Linked DNA regions of Saccharomyces cerevisiae S288C. The gene in region 4 interacts genetically with the main gene of each other region. Each region holds a gene or a part of one and is shown on either strand. Other genes may lie near its edges.

Region 1 (7,534 bases), on a different chromosome or scaffold from region 4:
CACTAGGCCGTGTTATCAACGCACTCGTTGATCATTCTAACCATATACCTTACAGAGAATCTAAGCTAACAAGATTGCTACAAGACTCTTTAGGTGGTATGACGAAAACATGCATTATCGCAACTATATCACCTGCGAAAATATCCATGGAAGAGACTGCAAGTACGCTAGAATATGCAACGAGAGCCAAATCAATTAAGAATACTCCACAAGTAAATCAGTCTTTATCGAAGGATACATGTCTCAAAGACTACATTCAAGAGATTGAAAAATTAAGAAATGATTTGAAAAATTCAAGAAACAAACAAGGTATATTTATAACTCAAGATCAGTTGGACCTTTACGAGAGCAATTCTATCTTGATTGATGAGCAAAATCTAAAAATACATAACCTGCGAGAACAAATTAAAAAATTCAAAGAAAACTACCTGAACCAATTAGATATCAATAATCTTTTACAGTCTGAAAAGGAAAAACTAATTGCCATAATACAGAATTTTAATGTCGATTTTTCTAACTTTTACTCGGAAATCCAAAAAATTCACCATACTAATCTCGAACTAATGAATGAAGTCATACAACAGAGAGATTTTTCACTAGAAAATTCTCAAAAACAGTATAATACGAACCAGAACATGCAATTAAAAATCTCTCAACAAGTTTTACAGACTTTGAACACTTTACAGGGCTCTTTAAATAATTATAACTCTAAATGTTCCGAAGTTATCAAAGGCGTCACCGAAGAACTAACCAGGAACGTAAATACCCATAAGGCGAAACACGATTCTACTCTCAAATCGTTATTAAACATTACTACTAACTTATTGATGAATCAGATGAACGAACTGGTGCGTAGTATTTCGACTTCATTGGAAATATTTCAGAGTGATTCTACTTCTCACTATCGTAAAGATTTGAATGAAATCTACCAATCACATCAACAATTTCTAAAAAATTTACAAAACGATATTAAAAGCTGTCTTGATTCGATAGGCAGTTCAATTCTAACTTCCATAAACGAAATATCGCAAAATTGCACCACTAACTTGAATAGTATGAATGTTTTAATAGAAAACCAGCAGTCAGGATCATCGAAATTAATTAAAGAGCAAGATTTAGAAATAAAAAAACTGAAAAACGATCTGATCAATGAGCGCAGGATTTCTAACCAATTCAACCAACAGTTGGCTGAAATGAAGCGATATTTTCAGGATCACGTTTCCAGGACGCGTAGTGAATTCCACGACGAACTTAACAAATGTATCGATAACCTAAAAGATAAACAATCTAAGTTGGATCAAGATATCTGGCAGAAGACGGCCTCTATTTTCAACGAAACAGATATCGTAGTTAATAAAATTCATTCCGACTCAATAGCATCCCTCGCTCATAATGCTGAAAACACTTTGAAAACGGTTTCTCAGAACAATGAAAGCTTTACTAACGATTTAATCAGTCTATCACGCGGAATGAACATGGACATATCCTCCAAACTGAGAAGTTTGCCCATCAATGAATTTTTAAACAAGATATCACAAACCATTTGTGAAACCTGTGGCGATGATAACACAATCGCATCAAATCCAGTATTGACCTCTATTAAAAAATTTCAAAATATAATTTGTTCAGACATTGCCCTAACAAATGAGAAGATCATGTCATTAATAGATGAAATACAATCACAAATTGAAACCATATCTAATGAAAACAATATCAATTTGATTGCAATAAATGAAAATTTTAATTCTTTGTGCAATTTTATATTAACTGATTACGATGAGAATATTATGCAAATCTCAAAAACACAAGATGAGGTGCTTTCTGAACATTGCGAGAAGCTACAATCACTGAAAATACTGGGTATGGACATTTTCACTGCTCACAGCATAGAAAAACCCCTTCATGAGCATACAAGACCTGAAGCGTCAGTAATCAAGGCTTTACCCTTATTGGATTATCCAAAACAATTTCAGATTTATAGGGATGCTGAAAATAAGAGCAAAGACGACACATCTAATTCTCGTACTTGTATACCAAACTTGTCAACTAATGAAAATTTTCCTCTTTCACAATTCAGTCCAAAAACCCCAGTGCCAGTGCCTGATCAACCTCTACCAAAAGTTCTTATACCGAAAAGCATAAACTCGGCCAAGTCCAATAGATCAAAGACCTTACCAAATACAGAGGGTACTGGACGAGAATCGCAGAACAATTTGAAGAGAAGATTTACCACCGAGCCAATATTGAAGGGAGAAGAAACTGAAAATAATGACATACTGCAAAATAAAAAACTTCATCAATAAGGGGATATAGCCATTGTAAAATATTTGTATCACTATATGCATTGAGTGTAAACTGTTGCACCTATAAAGAATGAAAACAATCTAGTATGTGTACTTACATAATTACACAGTCTTTTTTTTTTTTACCTTGTTTATCCTTCTTGTTCTTCAAGCTTGTAGGTTTTTTTGACTCAGTTTTTACTGCAGGAAAATCTTTACGAATCATGTTTGAACTGCCCATATTTGATAAACTAACTTCTTGCTTTGCTGCCATCGACTGCTCAGCAACTTCCCTTGACATTCCCTTTGCTGAGGAAGAACTTTTCCTGATGCTTGTATCAGAACCCGTTTTAATACCATTTCTATTCGTGTTTGAATTCATGTTAATTTGCAAACCTTGTGGCTCACGATCACGTTTTGGATTTCCAGTAAAGAATGTTTCAGATTTTGAAGAAACTCTTGAATTTGACCCTACGTTACTTGTTTGACTGTCCACAGTAGAGAATAAATTCAAAGTACTGATACTTTTATTTTTTTTATGCTGTTTTTTACCAATGCTGGCTAGTCCACCGTCCCTTGAGCGTAGCTTATTAATCGCCCTCTTGTCCTCGTTCCCTGCAGCTTTCTCGTACCATTTCCATGCGTATTCCATGTTACGATCACAGCCCTTGCCATGCTCATAGAAGTAGCCCAGAGTGAATTGGGCCTTTGGCAAACCAGCATTAGCTGCACGCAAGGCCCATTGAAAAGCCTCATTTTCATCTTTTTCAAAAGCAGGTTCTGCTCCCAGTAAGTACCATGCACATAAACCTAACATTGCCACAGAATCGCCTTTTAACGCTGCCTGCGTATAATAGTGTACAGAAAGTGATGTATCCTGCCCTACTGTATCATTACCTGTTTCATAAATCTGTGCCAACAAAGTTGCTGAAGGAACATGCCCTAAACTTGCTGCTTGAATATATAGTTCCATTGCATACTTTTCATCCGGAATGACAACATCTAAGAACCCTTCATGATAAATCTTAGCCAATTCGTATGGTGCTGCGGCCGTCAACTCATTAGCTCTTGCTGCAGCCCTTGATAACCATTTTACCCCATTTAATTTAGTATTAACGTCGGTTGGAAGACCCATTCTGCCGTAGAATGAATAAAGTCCCAATTTATACATTGCTGAGGGATGATTCCTGCTAGCCGCAAACTTTAAAAAATTGACTGACTTACGAGAATCTCTTGTTGTTCCTAGTCCTTCTTCTAAGCAATGCGATGCTCTGTAAGCACTTTCTATATGACCATGCTTTGCAGCTGCTTGAAATAAGACAAATGCTTCTTTATTTTCAATCTTCCCAAATGCTCCGGATGAGTAGCCGTCCGCTAATAAGTATTGGGCATCTGAATAACCCTTTATGCTCAGTTTCTTCAAATAACTTTGCGCTTCTTTCAAAAACTGAAGTTTTAAGTCAGATTGGCTGACATTTCCTTCCTTGTCACTATCTTGAACAAGAGCATTGGAAGATTCAATAGTCAGTGCGGTTTGTAACATATATTGCGCATACTGGAATAACACTTCAGGATCTTTAGATTTTTTAACGTTTTGTCTATACATTTCTATTGTTTTTAGCCTTGGAACTAAGGAAGTATTATTTTTACCACCCAAATATCGACTGATCATCTGATGTGACAAATCTGCTACAGATTCATTAGTAGCCGTTAATTGGGTATCACTGCTACCATTCAACAGGTACATGTGAGACAAATCTACAGAACGAGTTCTTTTCTTTATTTGCTCCTTCGTAAGAGATGTACTCGAATTTGTCTGTCTTAATGCTCCCGGTGACGGAGAATTTGTAGGAGTACTTCCCAAAGAACTTAAGGAAGTATTATTTGAATTATTAAGATGAAGCTGTGGGGGTGGGACTGGAACGAAATCTTCCTCTTGACTATTGCCTATATCGTTTGATAGTAGAGGTACTGACGCAGCTCTAAGATGCTCATTGATAAGCGGTTGGTTTGCCGACCGCTTAGGAAGGTCTGCGGTACTGAAGTCTTCATTGTCCCTGTTTTCCCTATTCTCTTTATTATCTGAAAAATCTTGACCTACCTTCAACGAACTGTTTTGAAACTGTAGGCCCCTGTTATCAAAATTTATATGCTGTGATTGCATTAAATGCTTCTTATATGGATGTACCTGCGGTGAACTTGCCATTTTTTATCCTTTTATTTTAACTTTATCACCAAAAAAGACGAGAACCTGGTAGTATACAATGGAAGGCTTATTAACAGCAAGTCTAAAGTCAAGTGCCAACACCTAGTTTGTCTCTACTCTTAAATCTTACATCATCCTCGAGAGGGTCTGCAGAAAGAATTTTTCGTTCTTTTTTTAGCAAGTCAAAACGCGAAGTGAAACGTGGGAAAATATAACGATGACCTTTCTTAAAACATGCATGAAGACTCGTGAAAGTCATATGTACATATGTCGTATAGATTTGCAGATAGTTGCAACAAATAATTAGCGATTAGTTATGGCCTATACATGGCAGCTAAGTGCGATGGCATGTTCAAATGTATTATATTAAATCAAATGAACTTAAAATGCGATGTTTGGGTGCAAAATATCTATAGATGATAGAGACGGTTCATTGATCTTACGGATCAACTTTGAGATCAGTAAGGCTGACTAGATGGTACAATTTTGTGCAGTCAATGGACTATTAAGGGATCGCAAAGAGGTATGTGCGCCAGTTTAAACGAGGTAAAAAAGAATGACACCTATGGGGTCTCACAAAAGGGCTACAATGACAATTTCAGTGAAAGTGAGGGCGTCCTTCATGGTAGTAAGTCGATGCCCACTAGCATGAAAAATATGCTACAGTCTCCCACGATGGTCAACATGTGTGATATTTTACAAAACAAGGAAGCTGCTAATGACGAAAAACCTGTGATACCTACTACGGATACCGCCACTGCGGGGACTGGTACTGAAGATATTAGCTCCACTCAATCCGAGGAAACTGATCAGAATAGTCATCTTATTGCCTCAGAGATCTTGGAAGGCACTTTCAAAGATGTATCTTACAAGGAATATGCAAATTTCTTGGGAAACGATAACAATAATCAAGTCTTGACTGAGTTTGTAAAGTTATTGAGTCCTTTGCCGTCGTCACTATTAGAAACGCTTTTCAATTTATCGAAAAGTATATATTTCATTGCAGAAGCGCAAAATATCGACCGGATACTAGAGTGCTTGAGCATAGAATGGATAGCTTGCCACCCGAACACACATTGGAAGTCAGGCTATAAGTCATGTCATATAGTCTTATTTTCCCTGTTGATCCTTAATTCGGATTTGCACAACAACTTTCAAGTTGACCATAAAAAGATTAAGTTTTCCATGGTTGCATTTATCAACAATACACTGAGGGCACTAAGAGAGGAAAATGAATACGAAGAATTGAAAATATACTCCCGCGAACATTTGATCATCGAAGAACTTTCCGAATACTATAAAACGTTAAATGAAACGCCTTTACCGTTATGCACAGAATCTAGAACATCAATAAATATATCAGATAACCAATCTTCCTTGAAAAGGTTCTCTACTCTAGGATCACGGGAATTTAGTACATCAAATTTACGTAGTGTTAACTCTAATTCTACTACACTATATTCAAGAGATGGTCAAGTATCTGTACGAGAAATGAGCGCAAAATCAAATAAAAACTTTCACAATAATCACCCCATGGATGCACTCTACCTTAAAGAGTCTTTTGATGACGGTTTAATTACCGAAAACGGCTCCAGTTGGTTCATGGACGATTTAATTCTTATAAGCAAGAAATCTTTACCACGTAAATATTCTAAAAGAGACAAAGATCAAGTGGCGGCACCAAAAATGACCTCTAAGAGAAACAAATCGTTCTTCGGATGGCTAAAACCATCTAAAACGACTACACTTATTGAGCACACATCTAGAAGGACTTCTTTATCGTATTTGAATAAGGATTCTGAATGGGAGAGGGTGAAAATACAGGTCAAGGAGGGCAGAATTTTTATTTTCAAAATTAAACCAGATGTTAAGGATATCATCCAATCAAGTGAAACAGACAGTGCTACCATCGACTATTTCAAAGATATCAGTAGCTCTTATTTTGCTTACTCACTGCTTGAAGCTGAAGCACATGTCGTGCAAGATAATATAATTATAGGTAGTGGAGCAATGAAATCAAATGTGTGTAACAAAAACACCAAGAGGAAAAGTGGCAACTTTACCGTTAGTTTTCCAGAGAATATCAACGGACCAAAGCTTGTTCTGGAGTTCCAGACGAGAAGTGTTGAAGAAGCCCACAAGTTTATGGACTGTATCAACTTCTGGGCAGGTAGGATTTCTCCAGTTCCTTTAACACAATTCGAAGCCGTATCTAACGCAGAATATGGATGGAGTGACAAGATCTTGACAGAGCACGCTTCCCTCAATCTTAAAAATATTGTTGTAAGTGAATGGAAGCCACTATTGGGGCTAGAGCTACTATACGAAGATGCGAAAGATGTAGAGATGGTCGAACTAAAAGAAAGGCTAAAGGAATTGATGAACTTCACCAGACAGCTTGGTATATGGATAGATAAACATAACGAAATAAAGGATAAGCTGGTCGAAATTTGGAGCTTTGACGATAACTATTTTGAAGCAGTCATGAATAATTGGAATTCGAGATATTTGTATATGAATAATCAATATAAGAAACGACTGAGCTACTTGAAAGCTTTGCAAAAAGCCATGGGTTCTGTTCAGTTCTAAGTATATTTAAAGATATAAATATAAAGACTGCGCTGAAGAAATATAAACTTGAAAACTGTACTCTGCCTTTTATTTACAAGGGATATTGAGATGATTTGTGTGAATGAAGTAGCGACAGAAAAAAAGCTTTTATTTCGAGTTCGCATCATTGTCACTTTCCTGCTTTTTCTTGGCGTACTGTCTATCTAAGATAGTCTTTAATATAGCGTCCTCGCCATATTCTTCTTCCTCAATTTTCTTCCATCTCTTTTCTACATCAGCTCTCTTTATTCTACTTTCAATGACAGCACGTTTCTTGTTATTCAAACTTGCCTCCTTGAGACACTTGTTCAAAGCATCCTTTTCGTTGTTACAAAGGCCAAATATTCTCTTGTAATATTCCTTTTGATGGCATTTATCGAGTGCATTGATGAAGTCCAAACAGGCTAAAATGAAGAAGGGGAGAATACAATGTTAG
Region 2 (7,131 bases), on a different chromosome or scaffold from region 4:
AATCAAGGTGCCTTGCCACCTGATCTATCTTTGATCGTGAAAGCTAGACACGGTGGTTGTGACTACATTTTCTCTTTGTTGACCGGTTATCCTGATGAACCTCCTGCTGGTGTGGCTTTACCACCAGGTTCTAATTATAACCCTTACTTCCCAGGTGGTTCCATTGCAATGGCAAGAGTCTTGTTTGATGACATGGTTGAGTACGAAGATGGTACCCCCGCAACGACATCTCAAATGGCAAAGGACGTTACCACCTTTTTAAACTGGTGTGCCGAACCTGAACATGACGAAAGAAAGAGATTGGGTTTGAAAACGGTGATAATCTTATCATCTTTGTATTTGCTATCTATCTGGGTGAAGAAGTTCAAATGGGCCGGTATCAAAACCAGAAAATTCGTTTTCAATCCACCAAAACCAAGAAAGTAGTTGACAAAAAAATGAAAACCACTATTATTTAAATTACGGAAAAAAAAAAACCAATAAACAAAAAACATAATAAAAGAAATGAAAAAAAAGAATATTAGTAGAGCATACTGAATTGTTTTCAGAAAGAGAGTGAAAGGTAACAAAAATTTACCTACTTTTCCTTTTTATTTCTCTGGTTTCGTTTCTTTTTTTTCGGCCACCCTATTTATTTTTTCACTGCTTGTAAACAACGTCTCACTTCAATAGTGTCTCCTTCATGTACTGAGATACTGCTGCAAGCGAAATATCACGAATAATAATATAAAAAAAAAAAAAAAAAAAAAAAAAGATGTTTAAATGTTAACAACCTAACAGCAATAAAAAATAAAAATAAAGGTAGAAGATTGCAAGAAAGAAACTTTACAATATTTTGTTTGGATGCCCAACACCGGCGTCTTGGTGTTCTTCTATAATATTTATTTTATTTATTTTTTATTTATATATGTACATATATATTCCTATTATCTATTAAGAAAGTAAACTTAGTGTAAATCTACCACTGTTCCAAGGCTTTGGCCATCCACCTTCTCTTTCGTTCCATTAATAATATGACACAATCGTTGAGGATGCGAGCGAGACCGTTATGGTCGATCTTTGAAGTCGCCGCGTAACGCGCTAGTATTTTTTCCTTAAAGAGGCAAACACTTATTTTTCCCTAATAGGAAATCCCTCAAATCGGTTTTTTTCCATATTAGTCCCGTTCTATTGTCTGGTTTCATACCTCTAAAATTTCTCTCGCTGTTCCATCAATTAATACAATCAAGGCACAGCCAGCAAATACTAATAATTCTCTTAATAACTGCTTCCCCTTTGCAGCACCGATAAGGGATCTTTAAGACGGTCTTGAAAATTTTTCGTTAGTTCATTTTTCATTCTCGGAAGTTTTTTTAAATTTTGAGAAGAAGAGCTGGTTGCACATTCCAAGGTGATTAAAGGGATTTGATTAAGTATATATTCACCAACCTGGGTTGTGTAGTTGAAAAGGGGAATAAAAATATCTCAAGAATACTTCGTGAAAAATATTCACTATGGATAAAAGCATGATCAAAAAAAGAGGCAGGCCTCCCATCACCAAAGATTATCCCAATCCCCTACAAAGCCCCATGGCGCATTCTTCAATGCAGGTTCAGAAGCAGGGGCCTCACAGTTTTGCCAAACCTTTGATGAAAGTGGGGCAATCTAGTCCATCCCCGAATAAAAGAAGACTCAGCATCGATCATCATCATAATTTGGCGGCAACTACGAGAAAGGGCAGATACAGGGGCGTTCTTCTTTCTACTCCCACCAAGAAATCGAGCACTAATGGCTCTACGCCGATCTCTACCCCGTCTTCGAATGACAGCTATAATAACACGGTGTTTTCTGAAACAAGGAAAACCTTTCTTCAGAGTTCGCCGCCTATCATGACGTCTTCTCCAGCTTTCCAAAAGAAAAATGACTACATGTTTCCTTCACAGGAACAATTCAAACTTTCTTTAACCATTACCGAAAGTGGGAAGGCCGTTATTGCAGGATCTTTGCCTTTCTCTCCATCGTCAAAATCGTCTCATTTAATGAACAATAATAATAAAAAGATCATGCAAAATGAAAAAATTCACAAAGGAAGCAAGAAAAATGCACCCAAGTTTGAGAAGAGACGTATTCTTTCTCTCTTAAAACAGATGAAGAATGAGAAATATTGTGATACTGATACGCTCCCCGAAGCACCTCCAGCGAAACCAAGCAGATCTGACATCATCGACACAGAATTGCCGACTATCATAGAAACTTCAGCTTCTCCAATAGGCAGTGCTAGAAACAATAATATACTGCTTTCGCAACCACCACAATCACCCCCTTCAAGCGCGCAACTTAAGCCCCCATCCACTCCAAAGAGTTCTCTACAATTCAGGATGGGATTTACTCCCAATGTTGCACTAAATTCCGTATCATTAAGTGATACTATATCCAAATCTACAAATGCTGTGGGTGCCAGCAATAATAACAATCAGAACGGTAATTCCATTAGCAATATCGCGGATGCTAATACTTTACTTACCTTGACTAATAGCCCGGGAGTTTTCTTATCACCTCGAAACAAAATGTTGCCCAAGTCGACTACTGCATCTAACGAACAACAGCAGGAATTCGTGTTTAAGTTTTCAAGTGGTGACCCGTTATTGCTTACTGACGACGCAGATGGGAATTGGCCAGAAATGCTGTTCAATGTATCTAATACGCCCAGACGTCAAAAATGTTTTAACACACCTCCTTCATGGATAAACTTTGGTTCACCTGGATTATTCAGCCCACCAAGAAGCTCTAATGTCATGGTAAATGGCACCACTGTAGCCACCGCATCGGATAGCGGCAACGTCCATAGACAATTACAAGCTCAATTGGAGGCGCAAGTGCAAGTGCAATCGCAATCCAATTCTCCTACTCAAAGGCAACAACAACAGCGTCAATTTCAAATACCCCCACCTCACATAAACATGAACTCTTCCCCGCCACAAATCAATATCGCTTCCCCACCTCATCAATCTATGTCTCGGGTGTCATCTATTTACTTCAACAAAGAAAAAACCACAACAGGGGTAGCAAATATGCTAGGTAACACCAAAAGCGAAAACTTACAGCCGCCGGCGAATTTATTTACCGCTGCCCATGGACCTTCAACTCCTAGAAATCAAGAATTTCAATTACCCACTTTGATTGAATGCACTCCATTAATCCAGCAAACCATGAATGGCTCATTAGGAACCAAATACATACCAGGTACTTCAATTTCGAACAGTGCAACTCCTAATTTACACGGGTTCCCTGTTGGAACCGGGAAAGCTCCCTCTAGCTTTGACGATTCACTAAAACAAAACCCGTACAGCAACAAACAGGATGATGCTAGAACTGCCTTGAAAAGATTAATCGATGATCAGTGAAAATAGTCATAGATTCATGAAAACGATATGAGCCAAAAGGACCATTCAATAATCATGAAGCGTTAAAAAATAGTTTACTTACCTTTTTTCCTTCTTAAAGCATTTTCCCAGAGCTGATAGATAATATATTGAAGTAGTACTTATATACCTTTCAACTGATGCATGTGAATGGAGTTGACCTTCATTCAGTTTAATGTAATGTTATTTTAATTCAAGTGTAAAACGCACAATACGTAAACGAAAAATAATGAGGAACTGGCGTGAGGGACTGCATAAATCGAAATCTAATCGTTATTCAATTAGTTAGTAGGTGAAAATGTACAATAAATATTTCTAAAATCGATTCATATATAAATAATTTTATATCACTTTTTTTTTAACGTCCTAGGGAAGCGATATTGTATCACTGCCATAGTAATTCGTCAAAATTATATAACCACGATAAGGCAAACCACGAGCTGATTATACCTAATGAACAATAGACACTATATATCATTAATCCTAAGAATTCAAATTTTTGCAAAAATGAATATCTCCACTTGACTTCATCCAATATTTGTAATACGGTGACGATTGGTAACAATGAAAAGATGTACGTTAATGCCAACCTATCCAAGAAAAAGATTCTTCTTTCTACACTTGAAGAAATCTTCGTAGTTTTTCTAAAAGCGGCAAAATAAATTATACACCAAACATAAGTGTATAATGTTTTAATGAAAAAATCTTGGCCTTTGTACAGAAGAGGATACAAGGAAACATAACCAGCTGAGGCAACTAACATAAACGGTACCAAAAGACGACGATCAAATCCAACAAGAAATGTGAACGGAATGATGACTAGCATTATAGCTTTCTCATGCACATGCCACCCGAACAAAAACGATGCCAACCCACAGAGAGTCAACGAGCCAACAAATCTTTTGAACGATGGATCAAACAAAAGTGGAAGTACTGCTAAGACCTGGTAAAATATCGTCAAAATAAACGTTAATTTTGGAGGAATTTGAGGGAGAATAACAAAAAATACGTCTTGAACTAGACCTTTACTTCCATTGTTGTTTGCCGCGAGCCTTTCATTAATTTCCTTGATATTCTGAGGGATCAGAGGAGGTTTAATAAATTTTGTAGCAAAAGTGTGGACGTACGGTAATTTCAACATTACCGTAGTGAGTATTTTATCCATAAAAGAATACAACGCCCAGAAATTTGGTGCCCAATATGCATGCGTCAGTCCTCTTGAGAATGGGAATAACCTGCTCAACACTTGCGGCATTTGATGAGCAAATGGAAGGAAACAAATAGTGAAAATTCCAACAACAACGGTAGCCAACTTCAAAAGATTTGCCCATCTTATCAGGAACAAAAAATCTTTGTAACTTTTAAACTTGAAATTGTTGACATTGAGAACGTATGCTCTCAATAAAAACACGAAATAACATGGCGCCAAATATAAAAATATATGCTTGAAACATATGGCTGTAGTATACAGAACAGCGCACAAGATGTATCTCTTATTCTTGGCGGCGACAATGGAGCCTATTAGAATCGCAAAAAGAAAACCATTATATTGGAAGTGAATGTGATCTATTATTAAAAACCCGGGTGATAGTACAATGCTAGAAGCAACCACAAAACTTTGAGATCTTTCACTTAGCTTTGTAGTATTAATGTATATTTGAAGGATGACAAATAGAAGAATTTCGCTGAAGATGACAGTGAGTCGTTGGAAAACGATTGTTGGCAAACCGAACTTTCCGATCTCCACTATATCCAAACAACCGTCATCACGTACAGATTTAGGAACAAATTGCGATAAAAACCATTCAAAATAAGCAAAAAATGGCGGATAATCCAATGTCCATTGACTAGTGTGCTCATAATACCATTCGCTGATGGGCAATTTATTGGTGATTGCCAGCCAATTTCTATGAACGTCAAAATCTGTACTGAAGTAGTCAGGAATCAATAGTAATTTTAAAAACAATGTGCTTATCCAGAAATTCCATAAGGAGTAGCGCTTGGATCCCTCACCTTTTTCGGTCGCGGCAGTCTTCAAAACCTTTTTTGGCTCGTCATTTTTTTTTAACTTTGCCTTCTTTGTCACAGCCATATTTTGCCTCGAACGATCACCTTTCATCGTAGGCTATCCAATAGACGTCAAATGCCTTGCTGACCACTACAGAACTGTAATGAACTTCAGCTATTTTTAACGTATGTTATTCTATAATTCTATACCACTATTGTCGTTTTGAAAAATGAAATTTCACTTTTCGGAAGTTGTCCGCTAAGAACAACTAAGTGATAACAGTAAATTTTAAAAATGCTTTGAAAAATGGGTTAAGCAAAGGTTATTTACTATAACTACGTAGTGAACGAAACCATATATCTCTTAATTTGCAGCAGGGATTTTATAAACTTTCATACATCCTGCAATAACAAGCCATGGACTACGAGGATAATCTAGAAGCACCTGTTTGGGACGAACTAAATCATGAGGGAGATAAAACTCAGAGCCTCGTTTCAAATTCAATTGAATCAATTGGTCAAATATCTACAAATGAAGAAAGAAAAGACAATGAGCTTTTAGAGACCACAGCTTCATTTGCGGACAAGATAGACTTGGATAGTGCGCCAGAATGGAAAGACCCTGGTTTGTCGGTGGCTGGTAATCCGCAACTAGAGGAGCATGACAATTCCAAAGCTGACGATCTTATTAATTCTTTAGCCCCTGAACAGGATCCGATTGCTGATCTCAAGAATAGCACTACACAATTTATTGCAACAAGAGAATCCGGTGGCGCATTGTTCACTGGAAACGCCAACTCTCCCTTAGTTTTTGACGATACGATATACGATGCTAACACTTCACCAAATACTTCAAAAAGCATCTCTGGAAGAAGATCCGGCAAACCACGAATTCTGTTTGATTCCGCCAGAGCTCAAAGAAACTCCAAACGCAACCATTCTCTGAAAGCGAAGAGAACAACTGCTTCCGATGATACCATCAAAACACCCTTTACTGATCCCTTAAAGAAAGCTGAAAAAGAGAATGAATTTGTTGAAGAGCCATTGGACGATAGGAATGAAAGGAGAGAAAACAATGAGGGCAAGTTCACAGCTTCTGTTGAAAAAAATATCCTTGAGCAAGTGGACAGGCCTTTATACAATCTTCCTCAGACAGGTGCTAATATTTCAAGTCCTGCTGAGGTCGAGGAAAACTCAGAAAAGTTTGGAAAAACCAAGATTGGCTCAAAGGTGCCACCAACCGAAAAGGCTGTGGCTTTCAAAGTTGAAGTTAAAGACCCGGTCAAAGTAGGAGAGCTAACATCCATTCATGTGGAGTATACTGTAATCAGTGAATCATCATTACTTGAGCTAAAATATGCACAGGTAAGCAGGCGTTACAGAGATTTCAGGTGGCTATATCGTCAATTGCAGAACAACCATTGGGGTAAAGTAATACCACCACCACCAGAGAAGCAATCAGTAGGCAGTTTTAAGGAAAATTTCATTGAAAATAGAAGATTTCAAATGGAAAGCATGTTAAAAAAAATATGTCAAGATCCGGTTCTACAAAAGGACAAAGATTTTCTACTCTTTTTGACAAGTGATGACTTTAGTTCAGAGTCTAAAAAAAGGGCATTTTTGACTGGATCTGGCGCTATTAATGATAGCAACGATCTGTCAGAAGTCCGGATAAGTGAGATACAACTACTAGGTGCAGAGGATGCTGCCGAGGTCTTAAAAA
Region 3 (6,500 bases), on a different chromosome or scaffold from region 4:
GGAGAGCTATTGAATATGGATGTAATTCCAATGGTGAGAAATGTTCGACCTTTAACGTATACTTCAAGGAGATTTGAAATACGAACATTAACTCCCCCTCTGATTATATATGCCAATTCTCAGACAAAATTGAATACAGCAAGGAAGTCTGCTGTCAAAGTTCCACTGGGCAAACCATTTTCTCGTTTATGGGTGAATGGATCTGGTTCCATTAGGCCAAACATATGGAAGCAGGTAGTTACTATGGTCGTTAACGAAATAATATTTCATCCAGGGATAACATTGAGTAGATTGCAATCTAGGTGTCGTGAAGTACTTTCGCTTCATGAAATATCAGAAATATGCAAATGGCTCCTAGAAAGACAAGTATTAATAACTACTGATTTTGATGGCTATTGGGTCAATCATAATTGGTATTCTATATATGAATCTACATAATGAAATGAGGTGTATAAATTTTACTTTTATGTAACCAAAGTTGTATTAAATATTTAGAAATGTTATACTATTTTTGGGTTAGATTCCGTCTGGCAAATTAAACAAGAATATTCATCGGGTTTCTGGGCCAAGTTTTCGAGGCAAGTCTGGTGAAAGCCATGGTGACATTTGAATATGACAAGGGGAGTTTTGAGATCTACACTAATCATATCTTGGTGGCGCTGTACATTTTCCCAAGCTAGAAAAAGTAATGGGTCCAGACCAGCTCCCCATATTTTTTTCCCGCAGATTTCGCAGTCGTCGGTGTGTATAGACCACCCTTCACTCAGAAATTTTCTATACTGTTGAACAAGATCTTGCGAAGAATCCTCTATAATCTTTTGAATCAACTCAGAAAGAGATCTTTCCAATTTATAAGTATTAAAAACATTCAGTAGCAGTTGCTTTAAATCCTGAACTTTCATTAAAATAACGTCTTGGTGCTCAAGAACAGAAGACATTATTTCCCAGAATTCCCCACCTGAATCCTTCTGAGAGGAACTCTTGGACCTAACCAATCCCAAAAATGCTTCTTGAAGTAGTTTATTACATAAATCTTTCCTTTCATCGTGTGAAGGATATTTCCCATATAGAGTGATCAGGAATGTAATCAATAATATCCAACACGATTTTTTCTCGGTACCAGCAGAATTACAATCATCAAAGGCCCTCCTCAAAGATTCCAATAAAGTAGATATATTTGTTTTCCCTTCATTTAGACATTGTTCAATAAAACTTAATAAATCCCTGACTGCTAGGTTAAAACTTTCCAAGCGTTCGTGAATTATAGCTGCAGCTTCAAAATTAGAGTCTTGATTCAATAAGTCCAGAATTTGTAAGCTCTCAGCGTTGCTGAGAACTGTACCATTAAGCCAAAGAATCATTTCCCTTTTGCTCTTGTATTTACAGTTCAATTCGATGTGTAAATTTCTTAAACGCTTATCGACCTTATTGTTGATATTTGGCGTAGAAAAAAGCTTATCCAAATACTTTTGCTGAGTCTCCTCATTCTTTACTTCCAGGATTTCTTGATGAAGATTATAGTCAAAGTCAGAAAAAATTGTGACGCATTTTTCGATACCGATCCTTGAGAGAAGAAGATCAAAGTTCGTCTCGATAACTTCAGTAACTTTGCCACATTCTAAACTTCCAGGTGGGCATTTTTTGAGTATGTAGTCGGTTATGGATACAATGTCCGTGTTATATTCTTTTTCGATGTCCTTAGTTTCTAAAATAAGTGAAAGCGCACTGGCGTACTTATTTTCACTTTTATAGATATGGAAAAGAACTTTATTGAAATTTTTTTCTTTTAGTTCCAGTATAAAATTTTCTGTTGTTCTTGAATGATAATAGGGTAAAAGCGACTCCAGAGCTATTTGAGAAATTTCATATATACCTTGAACCCTAGAGGAGCATATGGTATTAACAACGCAGTCGAGGGCTTGGTTAGACACTTTAATAAATTGAGGATATTTTGATATACTAGTTGCAATGAAAATTGCAACAAGTACCCTGATGTTGTCTGAATTTCCCGTATCTTTCATAGCATCCAATAGTAGATCAATAACATATTGCCTACTTACCAATTCTGCTTCTCCAACTGATGCAACCATGTCATTGTCATCGTTAAACAAGGACGCTTCAAACACTTCATTGAGCATTGCTAAGAACCTACTCGGATTCGATTTCAATAAAAGGTGAAAGTAAGGAAATGCTGGCTCTTCTTCTGGATTTTCGCATATGTAAAGTTTATGATTGCTGTTCGACGGCCATTTTATGGAGAAGCCACTAAAAATAAATGCTGAAAGTTCCCTTTGTATTTTGGAGCATTTATCACTTGGTGATATAGACAAGTTTTGTGGATATTGCCTGCCAGTAAGGATATACGTTACGTAATCAAATATAGTCGTTTCAGGAGGTACTTGAGGACCATTGAAGATCACACATTTTTCACTTTGGTTAGAAATCCTGTATATCAAGTCCACCACTGGGGTTTGATAATCATCAAAGATCTTGTTCCAAATATATATTAATAAATCGAACAAATTATACTTTTGGCATAGTTTGACGGCAAGATCAACATCAAGCGTAGTAGGATTTAACATGATGATTAAGTCTTCAATTACTTTTAAATTCTCCTCCTTAGCATAGTAATCAATTATGGACCTGAAAAGAACTGGGGAAATTGACGTAACTGATCCTTGGGCAACAATATTTGCTACAACTTCAAAATATACCGCGTTGTCCTTCAATTCAAAGAACTCCAGACCCTGTTCCAAAAAGACGTCTAGAGAAGGAATTGAGTCTAGTTTTTTGGAAGATTGCTGCAAAACACGAACAACTACCATTAATAATTGGTAAACCCTATTGTAGTCGGCATTATCTTTTTTTATAAGAAACCTTAGGGCAGCCAAGGACAGATTGTAAAATGGTTCCATAAGTTGCTTAGTCCTCTCTTCCGTATTATTATCTAGCTTCAACAAGTTTGCCAGTGGACAGTAAGGTTGCAAAAGTGATTCTATGAACTCCAATGCACCCAAGTAGTCGCCTTTCAAAATATGTCTTAAAGTAATATCTGACCAAGACACAAATTTGCCAATTTTAAATGAGTAGTTTGTTAACAGGTAGAAACTTCTTCTACTTATTACAAAATATTTATTAGGTGGGATCATCAAATCGTGAATCAGAAAATCCAATCTTAACAGGATCTTGAAGTCATGTTGGGGGTGCAATACCAAAAATTGGTGCGATATGGTTAAAACACCAAGTAGGAGCTGGTCAATCCATTGAATGGATAATATAGATTCTGCAAATTCAGGAGAATGGCTAGCGGACTGAACATTGAAGTCTGATGAAGATATGGAAATAACAGAAATTTTATTATTTACGGAATAAGCAACCCTGGAACAGTTTTGAGTCCATGAAATAGAGCTATTCACGACTAGAGAATTTTGTACTGAGGGTTCAACAGTTTCTTGAAACATCAAAGAAACGTGTGGCGATAATAAAATAAGGGCAAAATGTGTAGTTGTGAGTACACTCAACAAATTAGTGGAAATTTTCTCCCGTGATATTAGTGGAGACAACTTTGACCTTATTAATTTCTCCTTGGAAGAGTTCACATCTAAAATTTTTTTTGAATTATACACCAACTGCCAAAAGCCTCTTCTGTAACCGTTATAGAGTGATACTTTACCTGTCCTATCACTAACAATCAGGGCTGTATGCCGAGCACCAAAAAAGTCTAACCCTGTGATTTCCTTGTTCACATGGTCATCGATGTGTAAGACTGCCGGTAAGGCAGGCGTTGGGGTCATACCATTTGTTGGTTCAGAAGTGGGTTTCACTCTATACCCTACGTTCAAGTTCCAAATGCATATATTTCCGGTCTCGTATGAGGCAGCTACATGAGTACCATCGGAACATATGACAATTGATTTCACTGGACTTCTTATTGAGTGAATAGAAGGGTCCTCAGATAAGGTCGGCACTAGGATTGTCTGCAAATGTTCATTATAATTAAAAATGAGTACGCATCCTTTAGAAGTGCCCATCAAAAAATACGTGGCTGTCGGATACAAGCACGTGGGCCCTCCATAAGCACCCAGGATGGAATATACGTGTGTTAAAGTTGTCCATGAGACTACGGATTCGGAGCCTTGTGACACTGCAGAAGCTACCCCTTTAGGACCATCTTCGTTCAGGGGAGGTGCCGTATATGAAGAACTAGATGCCAGTTTTTCACTTAATTGGGTATACGATCTAAATTCTAGGAAAGTCTTTTGAGTGTCATTAATAGTCGTATCGATGCTAGATCTGCTGTCGTGGTCAAGGCCATTTTGCTCCATTCTAGGTGTAATGAGTAATGGTCTCGGCAGATATATATTTTACACTTATTAAGCCTTTGTATGTATTGGTAATAACTGTCCTTTTTCACGCAGGTATATCATCGTAACCAGAGGTTCCCTTTTTTTTTTTTCCACAGGAAACTCACGTTTTGATTATATGTCTTTCTCGTTTTTGCCATGTTAAGCTACGAATAATGAAATTTTCCTTTTCTTCTAATCGTGAAAAAGTTATCCACCATAACTCCCTACACCGCGTATTTTCGACAAGATATTATGAGTATGTGTATTTAAGAATATGAAAAGAGATATACATAACTTGAATATTCCCGGAATAAATTCAATTAATAAACACGATTCCTTATATAGTGGTTACACAAATTAGTAATAATGTTTCGTGTGCAGTCGAAAAGTTTATCGTTCAAAATTCCTTCTGTTTTTTTTAGCCTAAAACCTAAGTTATTTCGTTGTTTTTTTCATTTATTTGTTAATCTTTACAATGTTGTTTTTGCTTTAATGTTAATTATAAAAAGTTTATAAAAAAGCCTTTTATAATTTTTGCATAGCAGCAATATCGGTAGATTGGACGTGGTCTTCGTCTTCTTCAATGCTTTGTTGCAAGTCATCCAAGGAAACCTTGTCATCTTCGACAACACAGTTAATTTGCAACTTCTTGATACCGAAACCAATTGGGATAAATTGGTGAGCACCCCAGGTCAAACCTTCCATTTCGATGGCCTTGACGTTAGCAACCATTTCTTCCAAATTGGTTTCATCATCCCATGGCTTGACATCTAGAGTGACAATGGACTTAGCAGCTGGCTTAGCTGGCTTAGCAGCCTTCTTAGCGTTGTATGCGGCAATTCTTTCAGCCTTCAACTTTTCAGCTTCAGCGTCAGCTTCTTCATCGTCGGAACCGAATAAATCGACATCGTCATCTTCTTCTTCTTCGGCAGCGGCAGCAGAGGCAGCTGGGAAAGAGTCGAATTCATCGGCCTTGGAAGCGATGTGGTTGAACCATCTGGAGAATTCTGGGTAAGCAGATTGGAAAGCCTTGAAGACAGTGACGTCAGCTTGAGAAACAGCAGTACTATTTTAAAAGGAGAAACAAAACATTTTGCTTGTTAGTAATGAGAACTTTTTTCTTGTAATGCAATCTTTAGACTCTGTCTTTCTTTTTTTGAACAAAAAAGGAAAAAAAAATAACAGATAACTAATAATGATACTCTGCTCTGTGCTATCGTCAGATACTGTGATAGTCAACCACATCTCTTTTGTCACTCATATCGGGGGTCTTACTTCCCATCATAAACACGGACCAAAGAATTAAATTCATCATTCACATAAGCGAAAAAAAGTAATCATTATTAGTTAACTTCCCTTTACATGTAACCATAGGAAAAAAAAAAAAGAAAGAAAAACAACGATCTATAAAGTAAACTAAATCGGAACATACCCTTCAATGTATGACTTGTCAGCCAAAGAAGCGTTTAATTGTTTCAAAGTTTCAATCTTGGAGAAATCGGTGGATGCCATTATGTGTGTATATATTCGGTTGGACTCTTCAGTGCTGAAAGGTAGAAAGCATGAGGTAAAAAGATAAAGAGTAGAAGGAAAAAAAAAAGAACCAACTAAATATAGTGGGTAGATAACCTTAAACTATTTATTTAGAGGCGACAATGTGAAAAATTTTTTCTTCAAAGGCTCGGTTGTCGACAAATTGTTACGTTGTGCTTTGATTTCTAAAGCGCTTCTTCACCTGCAGGTTCTGAGCCCTAAGAAAAAAAATTTCCTTGGTTGAAAATGGCGGAAAAAAAAAATTCAGAAAAAGAAATAAAGCACGTGTGCGCGGTGTGTGGATGATGGTTTCATCATTGTCAACGGCATTTTCGTTCTTGTGGATTGTTGTAAACTTTCCAGAACATTCTAGAAAGAAAGCACACGGAACGTTTAGAAGCTGTCATTTGCGTTTTTTCTCCAGATTTTAGTTGAGAAAGTAATTAAATTATTCTTCTTTTTCCAGAACGTTCCATCGGCGGCAAAAGGGAGAGAAAGAACCCAAAAAGAAGGGGGGCCATTTAGATTAGCTGATCGTTTCGAGGACTTCAAGGTTATATAAGGGGTGGATTGATGTATCTTCGAGAAGGGATTGAGTTGTAGTTTCGTTTCCCAATTCTT
Region 4 (8,172 bases):
ACTTTTGTCATCTTCGCCCACTGCTGCAATGAGTGGAATAAGATCTTGCAATTTAAGTAACCTATCACTGAATTTTCCTTTTACTGAGCCTACTCTTCCCGTAATTTCAATAGTTTCTTCTCGATTTGAAGGTAAGCTTGTCACCGGAGGCGTCAAATCCACTACCAGATTGGCATCCGCAACAACAAAATTATGCTCAACCTCATATCCCTCACCATAAACAGTAAGGTAAAATGATCCCATGGTACACTTCAACAATTTTTTAATCAAATTTTGTTTATGTTTCTCATTTTCTGCCGTGAATAATTTGCCGTATATATACGACCTTGCAACATCTGAGAACTCCCAATTTCTCCAAGTCGAAAACACAGACATGAAGATATTTTTTGCATCTTTAGCAGAGGTATATTTCTTTTCTTTTAGCACTTCGTCGATGTTGCTTTGCCAATCATCAGGAAGGTACGTTAAAATGTGTCTCAGACGCGTAATAATTTTCCAACTACGATTCTCACGCACATGCCCTTTGGAAAGTCTCATAATAAAAGCAGGTTTTGTTATGACGTAAGGATCATGACTAATTTGATAATATTCGCTTGCGGCTGTGAGCTTTGAAATGAGTTCTGTCTTTGAATTACTTCTGGTGTTCTGAATAGAATTAAAAGAAGTGCAAACCTCTTGAATAAGATTTCCCTGGTCACTACAGTACTCAAACAGCCATTCCATTTGAGATTCGTCTATGGTAATATCTGATGACGTTAAGTTTAATGAGTTAACTTGTCTATCTTCTGTAGAAGACCATACTTCGAAACCCTCAATCCCTAGCGACAGTGCAGGGGGACGATCTTCAGACAAGTCTGGATTTTTCTTCTGGTTAACAGTCACTCTGACAGTTTTTACCTTTGCTAAAGCTGCTACTTCTAATAATTTATTTGTTCGGTTCTTCTCTAGAGACTTTTCACTCATTTGATAATCAATACGATCTAAATAGAGCTCAAAACCTTCCTCACCTGTCTCTTGCCAGATTAAATTTAGATAAGCAATATGGATATCAATGTTTGAAATAGAAGTGATCCCTTCTTGAAGGTTGCTTAATCGTTTCACAATCCCAATTTCAATATCGTCTAAGACTTGTACCATGTTTTCAGAGTAAAGCTGTTCTAATAAACTCTTAGCGAAAATAAAAAGCAACGGGTCGACATCCAACAGAATATATGAAACATCAACAACATAGTTATCCCTTTCGTGGTTTCTGTCTTCTGTAAAAGCGACAGGTTTGAAGCTTGAAGGGTCCGCTTCTTCGTCATTATCATCTTCACTGAAGCTGGCTCTTGAAGGCTCCATAGTTGATGGAGTTTCTGCGAATATGTTCTTGAATGGATTTGTGGTCTCCAGAAGGGTAGCATACTCGCCCACAATATCTTCAATGATATAATCTATAGTATCAGGCAAAGTGGGAAGAGGTAAAGTTGGGATAGACGAAGATGGTGCTATAGCCCCGTACAGGTTTTGGTATGTATCCGAATCCTGATAGAACAGCGGAAGAAGAAAAGGACACCTATGATAGGGTGAATCGTGTATTGTTATATATCTGCGTTGTTCTGATCTTTTTTTATCGATATCCTTGTATTGCTCAAAGTTTGTAAATCTTAATTTTGTTTCGAATTTGAGAAATGATGTGTCTACGCCATCGCCCATCACGCAATTTAACGAAATTGTCAATTTTGGAATTTTCACGTCTATTCTTTGTGAATATTTTTCGTTTTCAAAGTCGATCAAAGTAAACAATATCGATTCAGCACTAATAACTGATTGAGATTTCATCACCGGATCTTTAAGGCCTATTCTTATTTTTTCAACGTGCACGGTTAGCGAGGTCATATCATTAATGGTCTCAGTGTCATATAATAATATATTTTCCAAGTCATTGTAGCCAAAACCTATCTTATAAAAGGAATTAAAGAATCCCTTTATAAATTCAATATCTGAATCAATGCATAAATCTCCGAGATTGATATCCCATTGACAAAAGTAGGTAGGTTCTGTGGGTGGTAATCCATACATTCTATGTCCATGAATGGTGAGGTCCGAAAGCAATCCGTGCTCTTGCTCATCAGCTCCGTTATTACGACGTATAAAATCAAATACTTCATTTATTTGTTTTGAAACGTGCCGCTTTATTGAAGTCCCGTTGAGAACCGCCATTATGTCCATATAATAATTACAACTTCTGAAATCCACTACAAGTTCGGCAAAATGTAGTGCAATGCATGGATCAAAACTGTAAATCGTTTCTGGTAATATCAGAGCACCATCCCAAACCGAAAATGTGAACCAAATATCAGTTTCGTTGGTAGTCCTTTTCAAATCTGACCTTTTCATAGGACCTTTATCCTCAGATTCGTTCTTTAGACTGCTATTTTGGTACCCTGAATCTACAGTAGATGCCAAATCTGCCACCGAGCTTTTCGTAGTGACATCTCCGACTTCCCTAGCGCCAAGGACACCTGTGTACTCTTCTGACGTCACAAAATTAAAAAATTCACCGAAGTAATTCATCTTTACGTTTGTTAAATACCTCATGACAAACCCATAGCAGTGAAGTACTGTACTCTTGCTGTTACACTCTATGACTAGCGTATCGACATTATCAATATCTAACTCGGAATAGAGAAGGTAAGAACCTTTAATTGTAAAGTCGTATGCTCTCCCCACTTCTTTATGTTTCATGAATTCGTTCAATGTATTCCAAGGGGGGGTATTTAACATCATTCTGAACATTGGAGTTGAGATCTCGTAGGACATATCTGTGTATGTCCCCAAAATACTCTCACGGGGTACCGTGACATCAATTGAAAGCTTATCACCATGAAGGGATAAATAACAGTTTTCGTTAAAATCTAACGGATTGTTAACAATATTGTGATCATTGACGTTTAAGTAAATGGAATATCCTTCCATTTCCCAATTGACTTTGTATACGAATGGTCTAAAAAGTTCGTAAGGCGTAGGATCACCAGCGGAAAAGTCTGAAAGCGTATCTGCAACTAAAGTTATATGCTCACGTAGCAGAAACGCCTCTAATTGTTCTGACTTCATGTTAATTATCCATATAGCTTTGCTATTCCAACCCAATGGATATCCAATATCCCCATCAATATCGAATACCTTGCTTTTTAACAAAATATCGTGATTAACACTTGACCTAATTTCGGTTTCCAGGAAATGAACATGGAAATTATTCTGAAAACCTTGCACTGTAGGACAAACACTTATATTGAAATTTGCATAGGTGTCCTTACAAAATCGGAGATCCATCCATCCAAATGGCCTATATTCTTCATTAGTTTCTTTGTAGTGTTTCAAAAATTCGGGGTCTTTGCTACTTTCCCTCGTCGGTATACGCCAAGTAGTATCTTCCATTATTGATATATTCATCCTGAAAAGTGTATATATTCTTCTAGAACCTGGCGGGAGTTTTTTTATAGGTTTGGCTGTCCTTGAAACTACCGGTGATAGAACTCTTTGTAGATGACTGACTTGTCTTTGAGCCCAAGGTCCGTAACAGATGGATCCTCCGTGAATTTGAACATCTAAAGCAAAATCTGGAGGTGCTCCGTTATTGCCCACATCTGGTCCATCAATATCAGGTATTGTCGGATGTGCACCATGTGGCACAACGCCCGGAACATCCACGTCATATGCAATTGTGACCTTTGGGCATTTTAAAATTGATGTAAATTTAGCATATTCATGGTTCGTCAAATCGAACTCAACATCATCTAAATCACTTGCTTTAGCGTCGCCCGCAGAAGCCTTATAAAGAGATAAACCTTTCCATTTATGATAGAAATTGTCATCTGATGTGCCTGCGCTTTTTTTAGTCTTTTTCGGTACAACAGGCTTGGTTACTATCTGAAAGACTCGTACAAACGTTTTCCATAACTTTGACACTTTCCCTCTATCTATTTTAAACTTCAATCCAATAGCATCATCGTAACCAATATTTTGTTTGATAGAAATTTCGAAGTTTTTGAATTCCATCTGTGTTTTATTTCTGTATAAATCTAATCGCTCTTTTGGAGGTAAAACATCTATTATGCCTTTTCCACTTTCATAACTTAGAATCATAACAGATGGCGTGAATTTGTTTCCTAACAGTAGGGAACCGCGGCTAAATTTAAGCTCAATTGGTAAAAACATCAGTAGCTTTGGATGTTTGCCGATATCTGTTTCTTGGTAGTCCCTGTCATTAACAATTGATGCATCAGAGTTCGTTGTGTATGCAGATTCGCTTAGATCTTCATCTAATTTATCAGCACTACTTCCATCGCTAAAAGGTTCAGGAAAAGAATGCTCATTAAGGTATTTTTCAAATTTATCGCGTTCATCTTTTGATAGTAAGTTTATAACATTATCGTACGCCACTGTTCTGTTGTAAATAAAAATTTCTAGACCTTCACATTCTACGGAAATTTTACAGGGAAGCTTTGCTTTTTTGCCAGAAGAAGACTTGTTATTCTCTATCAATTCTGCTTTTCTGCAATTTAAAAGCCAGTATTTCCATGTTAAACTACCCTCTAATACCGAAATTGTATAATCTTTGTGTATTACGGAAAGGTTTTTAAAATGTATTCGACCACCTAGTAAGGAGACACGAAGTGTCTCAACATTTATCTTGATTTTCGCTCGTTTCCATAGTAGCCATTCTAATATAAAACTTACAAGGTATGCATAGATTCTTCCCATGTAGAATATCATTGTCAAACATACTACTACCGTGAGAATCCAATCTACTAAAAAGACCCAGCTAAAGTCCTTTTGGTGTGTCAATGGAACACCACGTAATTGTGAAATAGCTTCCATGCTTGCTAACTTATTACCGTCAATAGAAGACTTGAGTCAGGTGGCTTTAATGAGTACTATTCTTTTTTTTTTTCCAAAGAGCACTATGTTGATAATACCGCAGTAATTTTTTTTGAGTATCCTGTAGCCTAGAAAGGTTGAAGCTTATAAAACCGTGCCAACAGCTTTATAGTGGGGAGTTTGGCTTCCCTCTATTTGTATATTGATCGCCATCCCTACGAAGTTATTGGGAACGCATCGTGAACCTCTCACTTTAATGCCAGCGGTAGAAAAAAAAGTCATAAACAATACACGCCGGCTACACTTAGAAAGAAATGACATTTGCTGTCTTATAAAAGGACTTGACAGACCAAAGACGCGTATAATACACCAAGAATGGCCTTATTGGAGAAGTTGCATCGAAGGATTGTTGATATGGGGCTTGTCCCGCGTATAATCGCCTTATTACCAGTTATTTCCATGCTATGCGCTCTATTTGGGTTTATTTCTATAGCTATTCTGCCTATGGATGGACAGTACAGAAGAACATACATTTCTGAGAATGCATTGATGCCTTCACAAGCGTATAGTTACTTTAGAGAATCTGAATGGAACATTTTGAGGGGCTATCGATCTCAAATTAAAGAAATGGTAAACATGACTTCTATGGAAAGAAACAATTTGATGGGTTCTTGGTTACAAGAATTTGGTACTAAGACTGCTATTTACGAAAATGAACAATATGGAGAAACATTGTACGGTGTAATGCACGCTCCTAGGGGTGATGGAACAGAAGCGATGGTGCTTGCCGTTCCATGGTTTAATTCAGATGATGAATTCAATATTGGCGGCGCAGCTTTGGGTGTATCTTTAGCAAGATTTTTCTCACGTTGGCCAGTATGGTCCAAGAATATAATTGTTGTCTTCAGCGAAAATCCTCGTGCAGCATTAAGATCATGGGTTGAGGCATACCATACTTCCTTAGATTTGACTGGTGGTTCCATTGAAGCTGCTGTTGTGTTGGATTATTCGAGTACGGAAGATTTCTTCGAGTATGTAGAAATCTCATACGACGGTCTGAATGGTGAGCTGCCCAATTTGGATCTTGTCAACATCGCTATATCCATTACGGAACATGAAGGTATGAAAGTTTCTTTGCACGGTCTACCCAGTGATCAGTTAACTAATAATAATTTCTGGTCAAGATTAAAAATATTATGCCTGGGAATAAGGGATTGGGCGTTGTCCGGTGTTAAAAAGCCCCATGGTAACGAGGCATTTAGCGGCTGGAGGATTCAATCTGTAACATTGAAAGCACATGGAAACAGTGGTCATGATATTACTACATTTGGACGTATACCCGAAGCAATGTTTCGCTCTATTAATAACCTTTTGGAAAAATTTCACCAATCGTTCTTCTTTTATTTGTTATTAGCACCACGTCAGTTCGTATCCATTAGTAGTTATTTGCCAAGCGCTGTGGCTTTATCTATAGCATTCGCCATAAGTTCATTAAATGCATTTATAAACAATGCTTATGCAAATATATCCTTATTTTCCGAGTATAATTTGGTAGCGTTGTTGGTTTGGTTCGTGTCATTGGTGATATCATTTGTTGTTTCACAAGCGTTTCTTCTAATACCTTCATCGGGATTATTGATGACAATTAGCATGGCATCTTGTTTTTTACCTTTGATACTTTCCAGAAAAATTCACATCTCAGAACCACTATCATACAGGTTGAAAAATGTTGCTTTTTTATATTTCAGTTTGGTTTCAACATCTTTGCTAATGATAAACTTTGCAATGGCTTTACTGATCGGCACATTGGCATTTCCTATGACATTTGTGAAGACCATTGTTGAAAGTTCTAGCGAACATGAGGTGACAACTCAATCCTCTAACCCAATAAAAACTGAGCCGAAAGATGAGATAGAGCTCGTCGAGAATCACATGGATACAACGCCAGCAACCCCCCAACAACAGAAACAAAAACTAAAAAATTTAGTACTATTAATTTTGACAAATCCATTTATTTCAATAACCTTATTCGGACTATTTTTTGATGATGAATTTCATGGATTTGATATAATAAACAAACTGGTTTCAGCATGGTTGGATTTGAAATGTTGGAGTTGGTTTGTACTTTGTATAGGTTGGCTTCCATGTTGGCTATTGATATTAGCGTCATCGTTTGAATCTAAATCTGTCGTAGTAAGGTCGAAAGAAAAGCAAAGTTAGGTGCCATTGGTAAGAAGTAAAGGATTAACGGGTGTTCGAACTACGCAATTGATTTTATACGCACAAACATTACAAATCGAAGCAAAAGAAGATGAAATGATATGATATACTGATACAAATATGTATTAAATAAAACATAAGTATTGATGGAAACATGGCATAGAGAAGCGAAGATGCGATAATATCAAATAACTATATGTGAGTTGTGGAAGAAAGAAACGATCACATTATTATAATAAACTAGCTATTTAAATGTTTATTGAAGACTGTTCTGCCCCCTTTTATTCAGTCACGGTATTGGTCAAAAAATTCTTTATGGAAACTTTCCCATTTCTTAATCCATTCCAGACCAGGTGCCAAAAATGTTGTTCTTAAATGGTAAGTACCAGGTTCTTGACCAAACCCAGAACCGGGAACAGTGCAAATGCCAGTAGATTCTAACAACTTCTTACAATAAAATTCATCCGGAGTTAACTCTAAGTGGCGAGCTTCTTGAACTGCCTTGAAAGGTAAGTCTATCTTAGGGAATAAATACATGGCACCTTGAGGCTTTTGACATTCAATGCCTTCTAAAGAGTTAAATGTCTCATACAGTGTCATTGCTCTTGTAATTAACTTTTCATGGATGGAGTTACGTTCTGCTTGGTCCGACTCGAATGATTCCTCCCCTTCCACTGGTGGACGAACCATCAAATCAACCAAAGCTTGACCTGTGACAACGGGACACAATGAAATCGAGGCTAGTTTCAAGATAACTTGTCTCATCTCATGGCTGAATCCAGTGAGTTCCATGTAGCCACCCCTTTGACCACATTCACCAGAAACACCCTTAGAAGTCGAATGCAAAGAAGCTAGCTGAACATTATCGAATTTACCTGGATGTTCCCTCTGTAAATGTCTCAAAATTTTCTTCATAGAATGGAACTTGGTGCCCGGGAAGATATTTTCTTGATAAACTTCGTCAGCTATCACTACTGTACCGTACTTGGCTGCGACTTCAAAAATCTGAGCTATAGACTCAGGTGATAGGACAGCTCCTGTAGGATTACCTGGATTGATAACCACTAGAACTGTAGGTTTGATTTCGTT

The links.
Region 1: mutations in CSF1 (region 4) and SKT5 impair growth when combined (synthetic growth defect), as found in Saccharomyces cerevisiae (4 studies listed by BioGRID, with this or other methods).
Region 2: mutations in CSF1 (region 4) and ALG8 together harm fitness more than expected from each alone (negative genetic interaction), as found in Saccharomyces cerevisiae (4 studies listed by BioGRID, with this or other methods).
Region 3: mutations in CSF1 (region 4) and VPS8 together harm fitness more than expected from each alone (negative genetic interaction), as found in Saccharomyces cerevisiae (4 studies listed by BioGRID).

The regions. Positions count from the first base shown.
Region 1 is NC_001134.8:102,919-110,452, forward strand, and holds SKT5 (Skt5p), read right to left. Parts: upstream 4,489-7,534; coding exon 2,398-4,488; downstream 1-2,397. Other genes in the region: KIP1 (Kip1p), read left to right, coding at 1-2,303; Arf family guanine nucleotide exchange factor YEL1, read left to right, coding at 5,014-7,077; CMC2 (Cmc2p), read right to left, coding at 7,207-7,502. UniProt on the Saccharomyces cerevisiae protein: Activator of the chitin synthase CHS3 which polymerizes chitin, a structural polymer of the fungal cell wall.
Region 2 is NC_001147.6:447,943-455,073, forward strand, and holds ALG8 (dolichyl-P-Glc:Glc1Man(9)GlcNAc(2)-PP-dolichol alpha-1,3-glucosyltransferase), read right to left. Parts: upstream 5,521-7,131; coding exon 3,787-5,520; downstream 1-3,786. Other genes in the region: ubiquinol--cytochrome-c reductase catalytic subunit CYT1, read left to right, coding at 1-426; MSA1 (Msa1p), read left to right, coding at 1,494-3,383; VPS5 (sorting nexin 1), read left to right, coding at 5,826-7,131; VAM10 (Vam10p), read right to left, coding at 5,927-6,271. UniProt on the Saccharomyces cerevisiae protein: Dolichyl pyrophosphate Glc1Man9GlcNAc2 alpha-1,3-glucosyltransferase that operates in the biosynthetic pathway of dolichol-linked oligosaccharides, the glycan precursors employed in protein asparagine (N)-glycosylation.
Region 3 is NC_001133.9:141,532-148,031, reverse strand, and holds VPS8 (CORVET complex membrane-binding subunit VPS8), read right to left. Parts: upstream 4,326-6,500; coding exon 501-4,325; downstream 1-500. Other genes in the region: transcription factor TFIIIC subunit TFC3, read left to right, coding at 1-438; EFB1 (translation elongation factor 1 subunit beta), read right to left, coding at 4,872-5,412, 5,779-5,858. UniProt on the Saccharomyces cerevisiae protein: Required for localization and recycling of the CPY sorting receptor (VPS10) to the late-Golgi compartment. Involved in the retention of proteins to the late-Golgi. Plays an integral role in the complex vacuolar protein sorting process.
Region 4 is NC_001144.5:310,869-319,040, forward strand, and holds the start of CSF1 (Csf1p), read right to left. Parts: upstream 4,864-8,172; coding exon 1-4,863. Other genes in the region: GPI-anchor transamidase subunit GAA1, read left to right, coding at 5,239-7,083; alanine transaminase ALT1, read right to left, coding at 7,369-8,172. UniProt on the Saccharomyces cerevisiae protein: Tube-forming lipid transport protein which provides phosphatidylethanolamine for glycosylphosphatidylinositol (GPI) anchor synthesis in the endoplasmic reticulum. Required for the glucose and other nutrients uptake at low temperature.